4 linked regions of the Callithrix jacchus genome follow. The protein of the gene in region 2 binds, or shares a complex with, the protein of the main gene of each other region. Links are inferred from orthologs where the notes say so. Each region holds a gene or a part of one and is shown on either strand. Other genes may lie near its edges.

The links. Proteins that work in one complex are often made in the same cells at the same time.
Region 1: the proteins of FGF2 (region 2) and FGFR1 are in contact, whole or in part, in a crystal structure (PDB 1CVS), measured with the Homo sapiens proteins. The link is inferred for Callithrix jacchus from reciprocal best matches to the Homo sapiens genes FGF2 and FGFR1. Residues at the interface, in NP_001997.5 of Homo sapiens: His158, Phe159, Lys160, Lys163, Tyr166, Gly170, Phe173, Arg186, Lys188, Leu197, Gln198, Ala199, Glu200, Glu201, Arg202, Gly203, Val205, Ser206, Tyr215, Val230, Glu238, Leu240, Asn243, Asn244, Tyr245, Asn246, Leu282, Pro283, Met284; in NP_075598.2 of Homo sapiens: Glu162, Lys163, Leu165, His166, Ala167, Val168, Pro169, Ala170, Asp246, Val248, Arg250, Ser251, Pro252, Val279, Ser281, Asp282, Pro283, Gln284, Pro285, His286, Ile287, Ala314, Gly315, Val316, Thr319, Asp320, Glu324, Gly344, Asn345, Ser346.
Region 3: the proteins of FGF2 (region 2) and FGFR2 are in contact, whole or in part, in a crystal structure (PDB 1II4), measured with the Homo sapiens proteins. The link is inferred for Callithrix jacchus from reciprocal best matches to the Homo sapiens genes FGF2 and FGFR2. Residues at the interface, in NP_001997.5 of Homo sapiens: Phe154, Pro155, Pro156, Gly157, His158, Phe159, Lys160, Lys163, Tyr166, Lys168, Gly170, Gly171, Phe173, Arg186, Leu197, Gln198, Ala199, Glu200, Glu201, Arg202, Gly203, Val205, Ser206, Tyr215, Val230, Phe235, Glu238, Leu240, Asn243, Asn244; in NP_000132.3 of Homo sapiens: Glu163, Lys164, Leu166, His167, Ala168, Val169, Pro170, Ala171, Asn173, Asp247, Val249, Glu250, Arg251, Pro253, Ile257, Lys279, Val280, Tyr281, Ser282, Asp283, Ala284, Gln285, Pro286, His287, Ile288, Ala315, Gly316, Val317, Thr319, Thr320.
Region 4: the proteins of FGF2 (region 2) and S100B are in contact, whole or in part, in an NMR structure (PDB 2M49), measured with the Homo sapiens proteins. The link is inferred for Callithrix jacchus from reciprocal best matches to the Homo sapiens genes FGF2 and S100B. Residues at the interface, in NP_001997.5 of Homo sapiens: Arg164, Tyr166, Cys167, Lys168, Asn169, Gly170, Gly171, Phe173, Arg186, Lys188, Asn243, Asn244, Tyr245, Arg262, Lys267, Gly275, Gln276, Lys277, Ala278, Leu282, Met284; in NP_006263.1 of Homo sapiens: Glu47, Ile48, Lys49, Glu50, Gln51, Glu52, Asp55, Lys56, Cys85, Phe88, Phe89, Glu90, His91, Glu92.

Annotation. Positions count from the first base shown.
Region 1 is NC_133514.1:39,299,118-39,303,428, forward strand, and holds the start of FGFR1 (fibroblast growth factor receptor 1), read right to left. Parts: upstream 2,950-4,311; 5' UTR 2,290-2,949; exon of another isoform or gene 1,975-2,289; intron 1,698-1,974; exon of another isoform or gene 1,537-1,697; intron 1-1,536. UniProt on the Homo sapiens protein: Tyrosine-protein kinase that acts as a cell-surface receptor for fibroblast growth factors and plays an essential role in the regulation of embryonic development, cell proliferation, differentiation and migration.
Region 2 is NC_133504.1:74,801,044-74,805,516, forward strand, and holds the start of FGF2 (fibroblast growth factor 2), read right to left. Parts: upstream 2,840-4,473; 5' UTR 2,823-2,839; coding exon 2,132-2,822; intron 1-2,131. UniProt on the Homo sapiens protein: Acts as a ligand for FGFR1, FGFR2, FGFR3 and FGFR4. Also acts as an integrin ligand which is required for FGF2 signaling. Binds to integrin ITGAV:ITGB3.
Region 3 is NC_133513.1:115,006,123-115,010,695, forward strand, and holds the start of FGFR2 (fibroblast growth factor receptor 2), read right to left. Parts: upstream 2,950-4,573; 5' UTR 2,473-2,949; intron 1,151-2,472; exon of another isoform or gene 761-1,150; intron 607-760; exon of another isoform or gene 180-606; intron 1-179. UniProt on the Homo sapiens protein: Tyrosine-protein kinase that acts as a cell-surface receptor for fibroblast growth factors and plays an essential role in the regulation of cell proliferation, differentiation, migration and apoptosis, and in the regulation of embryonic development.
Region 4 is NC_133522.1:52,191,908-52,196,412, forward strand, and holds the start of S100B (protein S100-B), read right to left. Parts: upstream 2,950-4,505; 5' UTR 2,881-2,949; intron 795-2,880; 5' UTR 352-794; coding exon 214-351; intron 1-213. UniProt on the Homo sapiens protein: Small zinc- and- and calcium-binding protein that is highly expressed in astrocytes and constitutes one of the most abundant soluble proteins in brain.

The DNA of each region.
Region 1 (4,311 bases), on a different chromosome or scaffold from region 2:
AACGGTGGATGACCCAGGCCAACGTGGGTCCCACAGGGCCCTGCTACTTCGCTTTTAAAGAAGCCTCAGGGAGGAAACCGGGAGCCCGAGCCAAGGGAGGAAAATGGCCACTTTCTGCTCAACAGTCTCAAGGCTAAGGTTTTCCCATTTAGGTGGTATTCCAAAAAAAGCGCTGGTCCGGAGGTGCAAAGGGCAGGGCACATCTGCGGAGGAAACAGTCACCTTAATTACCACGTCTAGAGAAAGTGCGATTTCATTACAGCCTCCAAAACTACCGCCCAAAGAAGGAAACCAGAGAAGTGTTTTCAATTTGAAAGAGACTGGAAAGAAGCGGGTGAGAGACCGACTCTCCCGACTCTCCCCACCCTCCTGCAACTTTGGACCACAAGGTGCTTTCCTGCCTCAAAGACTATGACCAAACACAACTTGACAATCCAACCCCCGCTTTCAAACCTGTGGCCGTTATTTAAACGGTAAAATGTCCCACTTAGCTTCCGGGGATGTGGCCCAAATCAATCCTTAAAAACACAGAGAGCACCTCTGGCAACAGCCGCCCACGCCCCCCGGCCCTGCGCACCGGGCTCGCTCCGGGAGGGGAAGAAGGGGCGCGTGACGCCACCGCGGGGCGGCCGAGAGGGGACCGCGGGCTCCGGGCGGGGCAGGCGCTCCTGCAACTCCAACTGTAACTCAAGGGAAAGAAAGCAATGCTTTGGTTCCAGAAACTTCCATCGTCAAGGCCACTTCTGGCCAGACGCACGGCCAAAGAGCCCCCCTAGTCTAGCGGATGAACCGTTCGCAAGTGCTATCCCCTAAAACCTTGGCCCCATCTCCCAAGATGCCTCTTTTCTGCGCAATCCAGAAAGCACCCCGACCGCCGTCACCCACCAGCGGCGGCGAATAACTTGGTGGGAACTTAAATAACTCGGGATTCAAGGGAACTTTCTTTTCTCCCCTGAATCTCAATGCCGCATCTCCAAGTCTCCAGAAATGATGAGGAGAGAGGTGGTCAAGGCGAGTTGAAGAATCCGAGTTTTAATTTGGGGGAGGGGGAGGGGAGGAAGAGGTAAGTTAATAATGCGGCTGCGGTGTACCCGTGTGGGGTGAAACGGAACCAGATGCGGCCGCCACATCTGGAAAATGGGGATGGGGGAGGGCTAGGGGAGAACCGCACCGTGGAAATGTTCTTCAAACGGGCTGATAGCTTCTGGGCCCAGAACAAGAAACAGGCTTCACCCTCCCTCCCCCACCACCACCACACAAAGTGTCTGGCTGCCTCACAGGGGGTGTTCTATATGAACCCCATCTACAACGTCCACAAATTTCTCTGCCGACGTGGGTCGTAGCCTCCCTTTCTACCAACACCAAACATAACGGGAGGGGACGCGGAGCGCAGAGGGGTCTGGGCTAGACAAGCACACGCATCGCAGCCGAGTGAACCGCACCGGACAAAACCCACATCCCTTCCTCCACCTCCAAGAACCAGATTGGGACGGAACAGCCCCGGCCCCAGCCCCAGCCCCTGCCCCCGCCCCATACCTCGGCTTAACGACCGCGGGTCGTCCTCCCGTTCCCCAAACTTCCGACCCTTTCTGAGACCGTCCAAGTAGATCACCCCTTCTGGAAAGGGGAGTCGTTTTTCGCTTTCAGCTCAAGCAGATTCAGCCATTTGGTGACGACACCTCCTTAAAACGTATTCCAAGAGAAGCTAACCTAGCTCTCCACGTCCTCCGCATTTCATCCCCCCGCCCACTCGCCCCCCACCCGGACCCCAGACTTTCCCGGGGGTGGAAAAGGACTTAGGAATGTCACGGATTTTTAGCGTTGAGCCCAAAGCTACCTGCTGAATTGGGGTGAATCCCCAAAAGGGGACTAAGAAGAGATGGAGCGGAATGCAACACACACACACACACACACACACACACACACACCGCCCCCCTCGCCGCCCACTCCAGCCCTGTCCCTCCCGGGACTCACCGAGTAGCCGCCGCCGCCGCCTCGTCAGCTCCCGAGCGCGAGTTGGCGGAAAAGTTGGGCGGCGGGAAGACCGGCGGGACGAGCGCAGGGAGGGGGCGCAGAAGGCGACGCGGGCGGAGGGAAGGGAGGGGAGACCCAAGGGGGGCGCGGATTGCCGGGGAGGGAGCCGGGAGGTGGAGGGGGCGGGCGGCGAGCGGAGGGAGGCGCCGGCCCCGGCTGGGCTGCGGCGGGCGAAGCGCGCAGCCGGAAGGCTCCGGCGCCTGGGGCTGCTCGGGACGCTAGTCCGCCCCGGATCGGGGGCGCCGCGGCTCTTACCTCGCTCGGCGTGGAGGTTCGGCCTCGGGAGAGTCTGCCGTGGCTTGTGCGAGAGGGCGTGTGCCCGCGTCCCCGGCGCCGGCCCGCCGCCCCCGGGCTCTGTTCGGGTGCTGGCGGGGTCGCGAAAGCCCCGCGGCCGGCGCTCGACTCCCGGCAGCGCTCGGTACTCGGCGCCTCCAGCCCGAGCGGGAACAATGGAGCCGGAGCTGGTGCCCCGGAGGCGGGGCGGGGGGAGGGCTCCCGTCCGCTGCCCGGGTCTCCAGACCCTGCGCCCCCCTTCTCCGGAACGCAGCGGAGGCGCCTCACGCTCCTTGCAGACCAGGATCCATCGCCCCGCGGAGGCTCTGGCGCCGCGGCGTGCCTGACTGCAGCACGGGTACCGTGCGTCCTGCGGGGCGCCCCGAGCTCGGAGCAGAGAAAAGTCCTCGGGCTCCGCGGCTTTTCCAGCAGCGGCGCGCTCGCGGCCGGGGAAGGCGAGGTCGCCGCAATGCGCTACGCGGACTCTCGGTCCGGTCCGGTCCGGACGTGGCCGCCTAGCTCCTGGCACTGCCCGGGTTCCTCCGCGCCCTGCGGCTGCACCGGCGTCCCGGCTCCCGCTGCCTGCCGCCCGCCGCCGAGGCCGCCGAGCCTGTGGCCGCAGGAGCGCTCCGAGCGCTGTGCGCCGGCGAGGCGCGAGGGCTCGCCCTCTCACTCCCACCAGCGCTGGTCCCTCCTCCGCCTCCGCCCTCTGCCGCTGCCTGCTGGGCCTTGTAGTTCCCGAGCCGCGGCCCCCGAGGAGGGGGAGCGGGCCAAGCTGTCCTCCGCTCGGCCCTTCCCTTCCCGCAGCCTGGTCTCCTCTGGCGCTCGCGCCGCTGCATCTGAGCACGTCCCAGAGGGCGCCGGGATTTCAGGCCCTAGACACAGCAGCCGCGTGGGGGGCCAGGTGAAGAGACGCTGCAGCCCTGAGGTTGTACCTGGTAGCGTGGCCTTTGGAGTCTGTGCGCCTTGGGGAAATGATTTTCGCGCTCTAATCTCGGTTTTGCCATCTGTAAAAGGGGAATAATAGTGCTTTTCGTATAGAGTTGAGGCGTCAACGAGGGCCTGGCGCATAGTTAACACTTAATAAATACAAGCTGATTTTATTCTTGAGAAGGTCAGCCCCTCCTCAAACCCTTCCTTTGGATCTCAGCTTTCCCCAGCCACATAATTTAGGTTTTGTGGTCCACCGGGAACTGGACTCTGTAAATTCTTCAGCGATGTTGTTGGCCTCCGGAAGTCTCCAGCCTGCAGTGAACGTCTAGGAAGCAAAGAGTAAGCAGTGGGAGTTGAGGGGAGAGGTGTGGTTGGTTTGGAAATTAATCACAGCCCACTCAGAACACCCTCCAATACTATGGAACCTGGGAAAGTGGCTAAAATGCTTCCCCCTGAGTCTTCCGTGGAATGGTATAATCTAGTGGTTCCCTAATCCAAATGGACACGGGTCCTGTAAAGAACTCTTGAAAAATACAAATTCATGGGCCTGCTCAGACATGAGGAATCGCGCTGTCCCAGGAAGGAGCCAAGAATCTATGTTTTTTCCAAGGCTCCGTGGGGCCTATGATGTGAGCCCAGGCTGAGGCCACTGTTAGGGTGGGAAGCAGGAAGCTCTAGGGCTGAAGGATTCCTCCATTCTGTCCATTTATGAAGTTTGATGCAGGACAAGTCATGCATCTGATAAAATCAAAACAGGGGTATCTGTTGCTACTCCTTCACAAGATGGTCATAAGAATCAAATACAATAATAGGCATCAGTGTGCCAAAAATATTACACAAATAAATGTCACTATGTAAGTTAGTGGCAGGGCCTGTTCCCTCACCATCACCCACCTCAACCCCCAAATTTGTAAGAGTTTGAATACTGAATGAGATCCCCCACGCAACTCCTCCCCCATCCCACCCACTGCTCCTCCCCACCCCACCCCTGTTAATTTAAGAAATGGGTCCTCACATTATTTTTCCTTTTTTTCCCCCTTCTTTTCTCTTTTTTATTTTTTCGGAGACAGT
Region 2 (4,473 bases):
TGGGTTATTCTACTTTTCCCTTTTAACATCCTGTCCTTAGCTAGTTATAAAGTTGGCAGAGTTCTCAACCTGAGCACTGATGACATTTGGGGTCAAAAATTTTGTGTGTGTGGATATTATCCTGTGCATTGTAGAAGTTTAGCAGCAACCCTGGTCTCTACCTGTTAGATGCCAGTAGCACCCTTTCCGGGTTAGGGTAACCAAAACTGTCTCCAGGCACTGTCAAATGTCCCCTGGGAGGCAAAATCACTTGAGAACCACAGAGTTAAAGTAAGATTACACAAATGAAAACCCAGCTCACAGTTAGGAAGAAAAACTTAACAGCTGTTTTTAAAAGGGTAGTAATGTGATATATAATTCAAAATTATGTCCACTGGCTAGCCTCTATATAGTCTTATTCTAAGAAGAATCGGTATCAAAATCTTCAAGAAAAAAAGGATTCAGCAACTAACAGAGTTTGAAAACAAGAGTATTAGGGGAAGCCCCAAATATTACTTCATCTAGAGAATTCTTCTGTCCTCTGGTCATAATACATGCTTTTTAGTTAATAGTTTGTGATACTAGAAAAGGACAAAACTAATGGGGACACAGAGCACTTTGCCCTCCTCAGCTGAGATGGCCTAGCAGACAGCTGCAGAACAAATTTCAATCACAAAGATAATGTTGTGAAACAGATACTCAAGTTACCAGAATAGAGAAATAGCACAAACCCATGTAATAGGTTGCAAGCATGTTTTACGGGATAAAGTGATTTAATTTTTAAATTATGGCAGGCCTGAAAAAAAATTAAAGACTTGCCTTTCTTGCTGGTTGCTATTTTGGAAGCAATAAAGACACAGCTCATATAAAACTGTATTTCTTCTGCCAATTCACGTTTGGCTGTAGAATTTTCTCCTCTTCCCTCTCCGGGCTCTTGACATCCCGCTAGCATCCCAAGACAAAGGCAGAACTACAGGGGAGTGGCGCTCAGACCCCTGTGGGTCTTTTCTCAGGCAGAGAGAGAATCAGATTCTCCACCTGGAACCCATAGAGGAAGGATCGCCAGAACACACAGCTTTTAAAACATATCTTTACCCACACGTACAGAAGGACAGGTTAAAATATATTCTAGTCCTCTTTCTCTCACTTCAAATTCCATCAGTGTTGTAAATTGGCTCATCCTACGCCCCTTTCTTCTTTCCTTTAGACCAGTGGCTCTCAAAGTTGGATGTGATCAGCATCCCCGGGGAACAGGTTAGAAATGCAAATCTTCAGCCCCTACTCCAGACTTAGGGACTCCCCTAAAGTCCAGGAACCCCTGATTTAGGCCAGTGTTCTTTCTAGAATCATAAAAATTGTTTCTTAGAGAAAGCAAAACTGCAATTCTCATTCCATCCTCAAACCTGCTGCAAGGTAGGTATTAGCCCCACGTTAGGGATGAGGAAACCGGCTCTGGGGTTACAAGTCGGCCCAAGGTCTCAAAGCTAGTCACTGCACGGGGAAGGTTAAAGTGTTTGCACTTCTTTTCACTACTGAAACAAATTTATCGCAAGTTGTTAACATCTGGATTTCTTGCTGGTTGGCTGGTTGGGTTTTGTTTTTGCTCTTTCAGCTTTCGTCAATTCGGAAAAATATAAAACCGAGTGGGTGAGAGGAGTGTGCCACATGCCTCGGTTCTTCCCGAGTCGGAATTTAAGGGCAGGACTCTGGAAAGGTGTTTTTCCAGTAAAGATCGTTTTGTTCTGCTGCGGCCCGTCCTGTCTTTGAGGGAAATACACTCTGTCCCCCACAGCAGACACACAAGCGGCCAGAGCTGCACGGCGGGGCCGCGGGCATCCCGACGCGACAGGTTGTCTGCGGGAAGGGAGCCCGTCAGCCGGGGCCCGGCGCGCCGCGGCTCGGGGCTGGGGAGACTGGTTTACGGGGCAAACTGGAACACCCCAAAGCCCGGGGGACGCCCGGGCCTACGCCGCAGCTCGGGAAGGAGGGGGCGAGTGGTGAACCCGAAACCGCTGAGGGCCGCGCGGCCAGAAACCACACGGACCGCTAGGGTGGCAATGAAGATCCGGGAGGAGCGCGCAGGCTGTAGAGGAGAGAGTGGGCGAGGACCCGGGAAATGGAAATGGGGCGGGGAGAACGGGCCGGCACTCACTGTGAGGGTCGCTCTTCTCCCGGACCCCGTCCACTCGGCCGTCGGGGTGGATTCGCAGGAAGAAGCCCCCGTTTTTGCAGTACAGCCGCTTGGGGTCTTTGAAGTGGCCGGGCGGGAAGGCGCCGCTACCGCCGTCCTCGGGCAGGGCGGGCAGCGTGGTGATGCTCCCGGCTGCCATGGTCCCTCCGGGACCCTGCCGGGGACCCCGAGCCGCTGGAGCCGAGCGGGGAGCCGCCGCCCCCCGGCCACGGCCCCGGCCTCCGACCCGCTCCAGGGCACGGCCCCGGCCCCGGCCCCCCAGCCTCCCGCCCGGCAGTGCGCGGCCGCGCCCGCGGGCCCCCAGCCTCGCGCCGCTTGGCCGCTCTTCTGTCCGCCGGCCTCTGGTGCGCCGCGAGCCGGCGGCCCGAAAGCTGGGGTTCAGGAAAGGGTGTTTCCGCGGCCGGCGCCTGGGGAGAGCCGCCCAGCAAACTGCAGCGCCCGGGATCCCGTTGCAACCGCGGGCACCGCGTCCGCTGATCTGGCACCCGCCGGGCCGCGGCGTCACATCTTCTACATCTCCACCCCCGACACCCACCAGCCACCCGCGCCCCCGGCTCTCCTCCCTCCTGCGCGCCGCCCCCCTACTCGCTCGGGGTTTTCTGGGGCCGGCCTCTGAGTCCGGCGCTTCGGCCACAACACGCAAGCGCGACATCTGTCCCGGGGACAGCCGGGTGGGGGAGGGGCGGGGGGCGCGCCGGAGGCCGCAGCAGGACCCCGGTAGTCCCGGGGCTCCACGGTCCCTTGTCCCCCAGAAGTCACCCCCGCCCAACCCCGCACCACCCAAACCATGTTTAGGCTTTCTCTACACTGCGGGGCTTTTGCTGCGCAACCAGCCGTGACTCAACTTTTAAAAGTTTAAATACAACTTTCTCCCCCATTTTTTCCCTTGCTAGCGTTTCAAAACGGGGAAGCTGTTTCCACCCCAAAGTAGAGAAGTCGGAATCCAGGGAAGATTCTGTGTCAGAACAGGCTCTGAAAATCTCTAAATCACCAAAAGACGAGGGGTACACGTGGGGCATGAACTGTTTAAAAATAAAGGACAGAGACTAAAGTCGTCTATCAACAAAAGGAAAGAAAGAGGCCAGAGAAGGGAAGCAGATTGGGTTACTGACCCAACTTGAATTAGACAACACAGAAAGGTGAGGATGAGGCCCAAATCCTTATCGCGATAGAAGCGCATTAATGTCTTAACTCGGAGCTGGCATTTGCCCTAGCTGAATTGTTAATACATTTCTTGGAGACAGAGTTAATTTCTGTAAATCCCAAATGTAAATTTGAAGTTTCTTGCATTTTGGTAATTTTCAGTAGGATATAGCAGGTGCGACAGATGATTAGCAAACTTGCAGGGCTTTTGCTGCGCAATCAGCCGTGACTCAACTTTTAAAGGTTTAAATACAACTTTCTCCCCCATTTTTTCCCTTGCTAGCGTTTCCAAACTTGCTAATCATCTGTAGCACCTGCTATATCCTACTGAAAATTACTGTTTCACTCAGTGAGGGAGATAAGATGGGTAGCATGAGTAACACAAATACCAGTAGAAAGTAACTAGACCATAGAAGAGTAAGACTATGTGCTGTGACATTTCAGACATGGGGTAACTCAGTTGGGGAAGCAGGAGATTTAGGGAAGCTTCTAGAAGGAGTTGCAAGTGCTTCCTTGTAGAAACATTAGGTTTCAAAAGGTCATGTATAAGTGCATTTTTCTCAAATCTCCAAGAGGGCTTTAACTCCAGATTCATTTCTAGAATGTTAAATATAGGAGTGTGAGTAAATTCTCCGAAGCTTTAAAACCAGGCATACTCTTCTTTCTTCTTGCAGCTAGTGTATGTTCTATAGAGAAGGGGGAAAAAAAATTCCTCATTCATTACTAGGTTTATGGCTGAAGCTCCTGTAGCAACAGACACATTAACAAGAGAAAAACATACTAATTTGTTTATATAAGTTTTACACAAAACAGGAGCCTTCAGAAATGAAGACCCAAAGTTAATAGAGAAACCTGTGTATTTTTAAGGCTAGGACTGATAAAGAAGTGGAAGTCATAGAGAAGTATGATTGGACAAATATCTATGATCTAATGGTAATAAACTGGGGAGACTTACTTGGAAAGGCCTGTTTGTTCAGATGCTTCTCCCTGTACCTGTGTCTTCAGAGATAAGGATATCCCTTTCCTCCAGGTATAGAGAAGGCACTTCTGGAATGAAAGTCTCATGAGCCTGCTTCAGAAGAGAAGATCTGGGGAAAGTGAAAGTAACCCTCTTGCTTCTGCTGTTTTCTCAAGTGCCAAGGTACCATTATTTTGGGGTA
Region 3 (4,573 bases), on a different chromosome or scaffold from region 2:
CATGGTGTGTACGTGTGCTTTCAGATTGCTCGAAGGATTTTTCCTCCTAACTTTTCTTTCCTCTTAAAGTCAAGAGCCTGAAAAGATAATTTCAGATCTATTTCTACATACATGTGGGAGGAAAGTACACATTCTCATTGATTTACTAAGCATTTCCAGAATGCAGGGGAATTTTCTACCTTTAACACGACTTCAGGAACAATCCTGAGTCCTGGCAGAGGTTTCGCCCCAGGCTCCTTCCCCAGCCTCCTCGCCCACCTGTCCATGCCAGAGGAACCTTGTTAGCTTCAGGCAGAGAAAGGTGGACAGGGCCGTCCACTGAATCTCAAGCCATTCCAACATCCCGCTAGCCCGCACTGGAGATTTGCATTTCAGCCATTTCCAGGTCCAAGCTCCACAGCAGCCCCCTCCCCAAACCTCTGGAAGGTGGAGACCTAAGGCGACAGGTCTTCACAGTTCCTCACCGAGTGGACAAAAGTATGGTACGACCTCCTAGGCAGGATAATTAGGTCCCCAGGCTCGGTGTTGGGAACACAGGCCCAGCATGCCGCTGGCGGCCACAATCCCGGCTTCCTGCCTTCAATACCATAATCCTTCCTGGAGTCTGAGCCCCAGTGAAAGCCCCAGCGTGTTTATTTTTCCCCTTGAAAGGGAACTCTCTTCTCAGCCCGCACGCGGGAGGCGTTGTCACCCTCCCTCTGATGGATGGCTCTTCTCGGCCGCCCGCCCCCCACCCTCCCTCCACCCCGTCCATTTTCACCTCGGCACAAGCCTGCCCCCAAAGACAGGCAGAGTGACAAGCAGGAAGGGCTTGGCTGCGGAGTGGTCCCCATGCCAGGCCTGTGCTGCACTCTTCAATTTTACCATATTTCCAAAATCCCGACCCTCTAAGAAGGCAGGCCAGTACAGAGCCCTCCGCTTTGGGCTTCCACGTAAGAGGTGATAGGTCCACTGCTGGCTCGGCCACAGGGAACACTGCTGTTTTGTTCCTGGGTAGATTTCACATCAGGAAAGTCACAGTGCCCGGCTCCTCCAAAGCGCAGACCCATCTCTTCGCTTAAGGCCTCCCTACCTCTTCCCAGCTGAGGAGGAAAGGGAGCTGTCAAGGGGTCAAGTCTAGGGGAGAAATTCCTCAACAAATCGAAATCTCAAAAATCACAAACTGGGCCAGGACCCCAATACCCTCCCAGTTTCATGCTTGCGTCCAATCAGAACTCGCAGGCAGCTTGGGGGTGCTCCCCACCACCACCCCTTTCGGGACAGCACTTCTTTCATTTGTTTGCCCGAAATATCCTGTTTTTCTCCCCCTTCTCGGGGCGCTAAAGAGCTCAGAGAAATCTGCATTTTAATTGACATTCCAGGGAGAGGGAGAGGGGCGCCTGATTGCTTTTCTATTCAAACTAAACAGGCTTTTCAGATGAAAATGAGTCGAGGCCGGTGGAAGATTTACACGGATTTGGGACCCGGGGACAATGAAGTTTTAAATGTTGATAGCATTTCACACCAAACACATAATGGGTGCCCTGAGTTTCAAAGCAGGTTTGCCTTTAACGGTAGGTTTGATTGAATTGGGAGAAAGGAAAGAAGGTCTGGAGAACGGTTTGCAAGGGAGCGGGCTGTGAGGGGAGCGACCGAGGCTAGTGGCCCCCGGGCCGGCCTCCTGCGCCAGGTCCGCGGGCCGCGAGGGTCGGAGCCAGCGCCACGCAGGGCCCTCGGCTGATTTCCCCAGCGCGGCCCAGTCGCCGAAAGAATGAGCGCGCAAGTTAGAACTCGCCTGCGCTTTCGACATCTCCCAGCCGCTGCGGCAGAGCAGGCAGGCGAACTAGAAAAAGTCGGTCCAGTTCGCCCCCTAGCCCCAGGCGCGCTGCGCTCCCTCCAGCGCCTACAGCGGCTGCGGGCTAGGGGCGCCCAGGCATCGAAAACCGGGCACCGGAGCCGCCGCCTCCCCAACAGTGCCACGCCTGGCCATCACCACCCCTACGGGATGTCAGCGGCCCCACCCCAGCTGCCCCCTCCCGAGACAGGGGTCTCCGCGGGGCCTGGATGGTACGGAAGCTCCCAGGACCCGCGGATGGGGCACCTCGGAGATGCTCCGCGGGACCCGGGCTGCGGGGCTGTGCCATCGGCAGGCGAACCCTCCGCCCGTCTGCTCTGGGGTTGGAGGAACGCGCCCAGCCAGAGGGAAAGCGCCCGCCAGGGTTTGACAGGGAGGGGGGCGTCTGCACCAGAGGCAGATGTCAGCATCTGGATGAAGGTGGCAAAGGCAGAACTTCCCCAACAAGGGCCGTCAGCACGCACCCACCTCCCCATCACCTATGCAGCCACCTAGGAAGGCCAGGGGGCGTCCCCCACAATGCCAGTCCTTCCGCGCCCCCCGCCCGGAGGACGCTGCACCCGACGTCCCGGGCTCCCTTGGCGCTCACTTCCCCCGCTGGCGGAGAAGCTCCCAGAGGCGTCTTCCGCGGCGATTACCTTGAATGGCAACGCTCCTCCGCGATCTGTGTTGTCCCCGCGCCCCGCGTGGGTCGGGATGGAGAAAGCGACGAGCCCGGGGTTGCGGGGAGCAACTCCAAAAGCAGAAGAGGGATCCCCAGGTCTTCGCCCGCGCCAAGGCTCCCGGACTTCACGCGCACCACAGGCTGCGGAGGAGCGCGGGCATGACGCTTGCGGGCTGCCCTCGGATTTGGGGAGCCACAGGAAGAAAGGACTCAGGCTTGGCGTTGCCTCCACCAAACTTTGCTCGCGAGTTGCGAAGGCTCAGAGCGCGCAGGCAAGCTGCGGCCTCTGGGCCCCCGGGGCGCGCGGCCGGCCCCCGCCAGCCCGGAGAGCAGTCCCCGCGCCTGGCCAGGTACGCCGCATGCAGCCCCGCGGCGCCCGAGCTTTGTGGCTGCCGCGCGCGCTCGCTCGTCCGCTCCGCACCCACCGCCCGCCCGCTCGGCTCTCCACCGCGCTCTCCTGCGGCCGCCGCCCGCGCCGCCGCCGCCGCCTCCTCCCGGCGGGTCACGCCCCCGCTGAAACCCGAGCCGTTTCCTGGACGGCGGCGCCCGCTCTGCCAATCAGCGCCGCGCACCCGGGCCGCCCCGAGCCCCGCGCGGCTCACGACGCCTCCGAGCCCTCGCCCGAGACACGGGCCGGGGAGGCGAGGGCCCAGCCGCGATCCGGCCGTGGGGATGCAGCGACAGCCTCCGAATAAGGCCTGGTCCCGCGCCCCGCGCGACCTCCTCCCTCTTCCTCGGGCGAGCGCGGCTGGCCAGCGGCTCCCGGAGCGGCCGCGTTAAGTACAAGTGACCGAAGGCTCTAACCCTGCCCACCCCCTAAAGAGACTTTAAAATGGGTCTGCTTTTGGTACTGCGGGGAGGGTTGTCAGGCAACTGAAGCTTTCGGAGGAGAGGAAGCAGCCTGGAAATGTTCGCAGGACATTGCATTTTTCTGTCTTTCTAAACAACAGAAATGAGAGGAAAAAACTGAATATTAATGGGGGCCCTACTATGGGCGGGTCACACTACATAGGTGATTCTATTTCGCCTGCCCAACCACCCTGCAGAGTAATATTCCCAGTTTCTGATAAGGAAACTGAAGATCAGAGATGTTCAGTAATTTGCCTAGGATCACACAGCTGGCTATTGAGAGAGCCTGACTTTGAATGTGGCTCTCTCAGAAAAAGCCAAAAATTGCATTCAAAAAAATAAGTGTTTAGTAGTATATGTTTGGATTAATTAAAAGAAATTCAAAGAAGTCTAAAGATTCAACTCTGCCATAAGTAGCTGATCTTGAGCAAGCTAATTCCTCCCTCTGAATCCTAGATTCAAAATCATAAATGCAAAATCTGATTCTTCAAGTCCACACCAAGCTGTAACTGGCTAAAGTTCCTATTTCCATTTACCCTTTTCCCTAAGCCGTGTCTTCGGATTCATTCATTTTAAATATGCTTTTTCTTCCTCCTTATTCATCCAGCTCCAGAGCAGCCGTGCTCGGTTCAAGACGGTATAGATTAAAACCTTAATTATTTTTCTTTAGAAAAGGTCACTAAACCCAGAAATGCTTTAGAATCCTTTTGAGGCCTGAAGATAGATGAAGCATTGAGAACAAACCTGACTTGGAAAACAGACTTTTCCTGCCCTTAGAAACATATTTGCACCTGCGTCACTAGCATTGCATACTTCCTAACATTTACAAAAATTTTTTTTCAAGGTGCCACATGATTAGAAAATCATTTTTATTCACAGTATAGCACAGAAAACATTGATGCGAGTTACTTAAAAGCCACACGACAAATCAATCCCTTTAACTGCCTCACGCAAAAGGCTGTAATATTGGATTTGGGGAGTTTGATGGCAACAAAATAAAAACTGGCTCTTAAACAAAATGATGCCTCCATATGCTTGGTGGGAGGGTGTTTTTGGTCGGGGCCTCTAACCTGAATCAGTCCCAGAGCCTATATTAACAGACACCTCAGGACAGGTGACACTTAGCCATTCACTGCCACCTGGGTTGTTCTGAACCTAGCAGTATGTTTTCAAGTTCTCAGAAAAGGGATGCAGCTGAATGTGTCTGCCTGCTTTCAGGCTGCCTC
Region 4 (4,505 bases), on a different chromosome or scaffold from region 2:
CACAACACTGTTGATAAGGAAATGAAAACAAGGTCCCATCTGACCCAGCCCCCCATTGAGGGTTCTGTTACTCAAGCAAGTTTCCAGAAGCAACCCAGGAGTCCTGGGACAGAACTGGAATCAGCTTCAGGGCAGCTGAGAAGATAAAGCCAGTGTACAGTGGCTTTGTAAGAGGAGATGGGGAAAGTGTCAAGTTTAAAAAGCAAGACTCACCTCTAGGAAATGGGAAAGCTCATGGTTGATGAGCTCCTTCAGTTCGGATTTCTTCAGCTTGTGCTTGTCTCCCTCCCTTCCGGAATACTGGTGGAAAACGTCGATGAGGGCCACCATGGCCTTCTCCAGCTCAGACATCCTAGGGGCTCACAAAGGAAAGATGCCTTCTCATCTATACCTCATCGTAAGCATTTCGTGTGTTATCGACACAGACCTCAACCCAGACAAGGGGGATGGGCTGGCCTTGCATTCTTTTCAAGCTCAGAGCAGCAGGCAACGCCTGGAAGGGCATTCAGGAAATTTGTGCTTTCATCACAGTCCTCCCACCTGCCTCTTAGACACATGTGGGCCTGCCTTCTCTGTCCCTCTGAGCCACAGGGATATCTTCCCATGCCCTCTGGCTTCTGGTTGGGTTGGGTGAATGGGAAAACTTCAGCAAAAATACAGAGGCAGAGCAGAAAGGGAATTCAGGGATTAATTTCTGCTTCCCGCAGGGTCCCTCTCTGTCCTTGTAAAGCTCCAAGATGAGGTGGTCGAGTGCAGGTGAGCAAAGCATGAACTGCAAGCTGGTGAGACGGTGACTAGGAGCAAAATAAGAAGACAAAAATCAACAGCATTCCTCTTTTCTATCAATAAAGAAGTAGAGAATACAGTGCAAGACACCCTTTTCATATAGCAATGACAGGTGCTGTAGGAGTAAGTTTAGGAGGAAAAATGCAGGTGCTTCCAAGAGATTCTGAGAAACATAAAACGTAGGAACTTTTTCCTTTAAATTCAAATGTAAATTTAAATCATCTTTAATAAAAATAATGGAATTTTTTGGGTGGGTGACATGACAAAAACAGCTGTAAAATTCATCAGGACAAATAAATATGGTAGAATTGCCACGATCTTTTTGAAGAATAACAATAAAAGGTAACTGACCTACCAGGAAAAAAAAAAATGTATCTTAAGTTTAATTGATTAAATGGGTGTGGTTCTGTCGCAGGGAAGGACAGAACCCAGCAGAAAGCTGAGCTGCTGAGCAAGCATTCCACCTCCCGTGCAGGGAAATGGTGGCTCATTCACTGCGGTAACTGGGACGGTACAGGAATATGCTTCTCTGCCGCAATCTCAGTAAGAGCCCTCCTGCTCCCTCACAGCAAGTACCGTACGTCACAGCCTACAAACCAAGGAAATACCTGGTCAGTCTGGGAATGAGGCGCATTTTACAAAGGATGCCTTGTCAGTTGTTTCACTGAACAGACGCGCAGGCAGAGAGATTTACCAGCTTTTGGCCTCGGATTCTAATCATTAAATGAGAACATTTGCACTGTTATAATTAAAAATAAATTAATAAATCAAATATTATCAAAAATCATTCCTATGTTGAATAGATCACTTACATCTTAAAAATAATTTGGAATTAGATGTAAAAATTTTTATTTATTTCTGATCCTCCAAAGGAAACAGGACTGGAGATTTTTTTATACTGGCCAGATCTTTGCTAAAGTCATTGTATTAATAATCAGTATACTTCACAAATAGAACAGCTAAGAGGGATTAAAATTTTTTAGCATTTCATGTTTTCTTATTCTTTGCACTAAAATGTTCGGTTATTGATGTGTATGTGTGCGTGTGCGTGTGTGTATTTTAAAAAACCACACAAAACAAAATACACTTTTGCATCATTCTGATGCTCCTCAAAGTTGGTGATGATTTAGGGAAAAGGAGGTTAAATTGTTTTTCTGCGAATTATGACTAATGGGATTTTTACAAAGGAAAGGCATAAAACATGTATTCCATATATTAGAACCCTAATAGAAACCACTAGAAAATACGGTTTTCTTCATAACCACACTACAAATCAATTAAAAAATTTTTGTTAAATTTTTCCCTTTGACTTAAGAAACAGTTGATGGTTTACAGTTTATCTTGTAAGATAAATGGAAATAAATATCCATTTCTTTCTTACATTCTGTAGATGTTCTACATTAACCTTCTAATATTGAGAACAAGAGAATATTTGAACTTTAACTCCTTCGACAGTTTAGCTAGTGCGTGAAGATCCCTCTAAAGAAGGGGTTCGACTCCCTGAGAAACTGTAAGACTGAGGAAAGTTAAAACTCGCCAAAACTCCACTTTCTTGGACCCAATTTATCTGTAATTGTTATGTAATTTCTGAGTGGTGTCCTGGGGCTGCGGGGACCCTGGCTTTTTAAACTGAGGGAAACTGGAAAACTGAAGTTACTTACCCAGGGCGGTGGAAGAAGTAAGAGGGAGAAAAGGAAAGCATTTATTTATGATATAGGACTAAACTAGCATTAGATTCTCTCTCATTTTCAGCCCCAGTGGGAAACAAAAACCTTGCTCTTCAAATCGTTACAGAAGAGGCAGTGTTTGTAGTATCACTGGGAAAATGTCAACAATCACTTCTGGACCATGAGAGCTGAGGTTTCTCTGATTTATGGCAAAACACAGGCAAACAGCTCTGGCTGTCTAGGGCTGGTGCGGTCGGGTGTCCACAAAGCAGCAATGAAGTGGAGATTAAAGCACATCGTGCTATTGACCCTTCTGAAATGCTGCCAATTATCCTAAAGGGATAGTTTCTACCCCTCCTCCACCACCCTGTTCCACCCAAAACAAAACCATTTCTTCCTGAGCGTCCTCCTGGCCTGGCTCTCTCACCTCTTCCGCGTCTCACCCTTCCTTGTCTCCTTGCTGCAGGCCTCGTCTCTGCTGCCGGTCCTGGAGGGCAGGACTGGTGCACAGGGGCAACCTCTTATCCCCTCTGCCCAGGGAGGACGGATGAACCCAGGTGCAGCCCACTGCAGGCTGTGACAGCCAATGGGGGCCGAGGGTGGGGGCGGCAGGGCTGCCAGGCTGGCACACAGGGCTGCATTGACCAAGCAGCCCGGGGACTTGCCAGGAGCCAGGATTGCACACGGGCTGAGGAAGAAGAAGGGCCTGTGGGGCAGGAAGTGGGGAGTCAGCTTTTTGTGCTATTTATTTGTTACATGAATATTGATGTTCTGCTGAAGGCAAGGTTGGGGGTGGAGAGAGAGAGACTTGGGCTAATTGATTCAAACAAAGCAAATGTGCAGCCAAGAACCAGAAGCTTCCAAGTACAGGCTGAGCGTAGGAGAGTAGGTGGCCTGCGATCTGGCTTCCGATGGAGAGACCCCTGGAGCCTCTCTCCTCTGCCAGCCTCCATGGCTGGCCCCACTGGGCGCGGGCTTCTGTGGACAGTAGTGCTTGTCCGTGGTCAGCCCTGGGTTCAACAGGGCTGCCTCACAGAAGCTGCTGAGCCCCGTGTCTGCAGGGACTGAAATGTGTGGTACTTTGAGGGGAAAGTCCTTGTTTAGCGTGATGTGGATTGTATCCCAAGGCCTTATGCTCCACCCCAGTGTGGAAGGTCACAGACCGGCAGAGTCGCACAATGCCTTAGAGATGCCCTATCCGAACGCTGTTTTACAGAGGTGTGTGGATGCTGTGCCCCTTGCCGAAGCCTCGAAGGAGAAATCCAGTCGTCCCCTCTATGTGCCCTATGTGAGTCTCTGAGTGCAGGGGCCAGTTTGCGGGTTCTTCACAGGAGGGAAGAAGTGGGCGTGCCTTCTGACAAATCACACAAAAGCATTGGCCCAAACTCTCCACACATGTCCATGGGCCCCAAAGGATGCCTGACCCTGCGTCAGGTCCTTCTCCCCACCCAGTTTCAAAGTGGTTGTGGAAGGGTTTCCCACAAGATACCTGTGTACATGGCTGTTTTGCTGTCACCTGTTTTATCTAGAAAGTTCTCTCATTCAGCATCCGTAAGTGTGCCCTGGAAACAGCACGGGGCTGAAAGCTGTGGTCTTGCATGGCTGAGCATGCCCCAGCCTCCTGTGAGGAAGGACCTGAGCAGGGTGGTTGGGCCTCATTTCCTCATCTTCCTGCTGAAGAATCCGACACAGGCTTGCTCTGTGAAGCACGGAGCTTGCCCAGGCCTGAGGAAGGCGCGGCTGTGCTCTATGCCGCTTCCTCGCTCAGACGTTGGAGGGACCATTCCTGAAAGCCTTGACCACTTCCCCTGAGTGGCAACTTGAACTCTGGATTCACCTTCAGAATCCATAGGAAACTCTTAAGCCTGCTCCTGCAGGGATTAAAAATAGTTTGAAATCCACTCAGGCAATGACTGTACCCCTGCGCCTCGGGCACTGTGCTCAGCAGGAAGACTCAGGCAGACCTGCCCTCTTCACACTGCAGCTTCCTGGGAAGGCAAGTGCGGTGCAGTGGGTCCACCCTGTTCCAAGTGCCTTGGTCCACAGAGATTT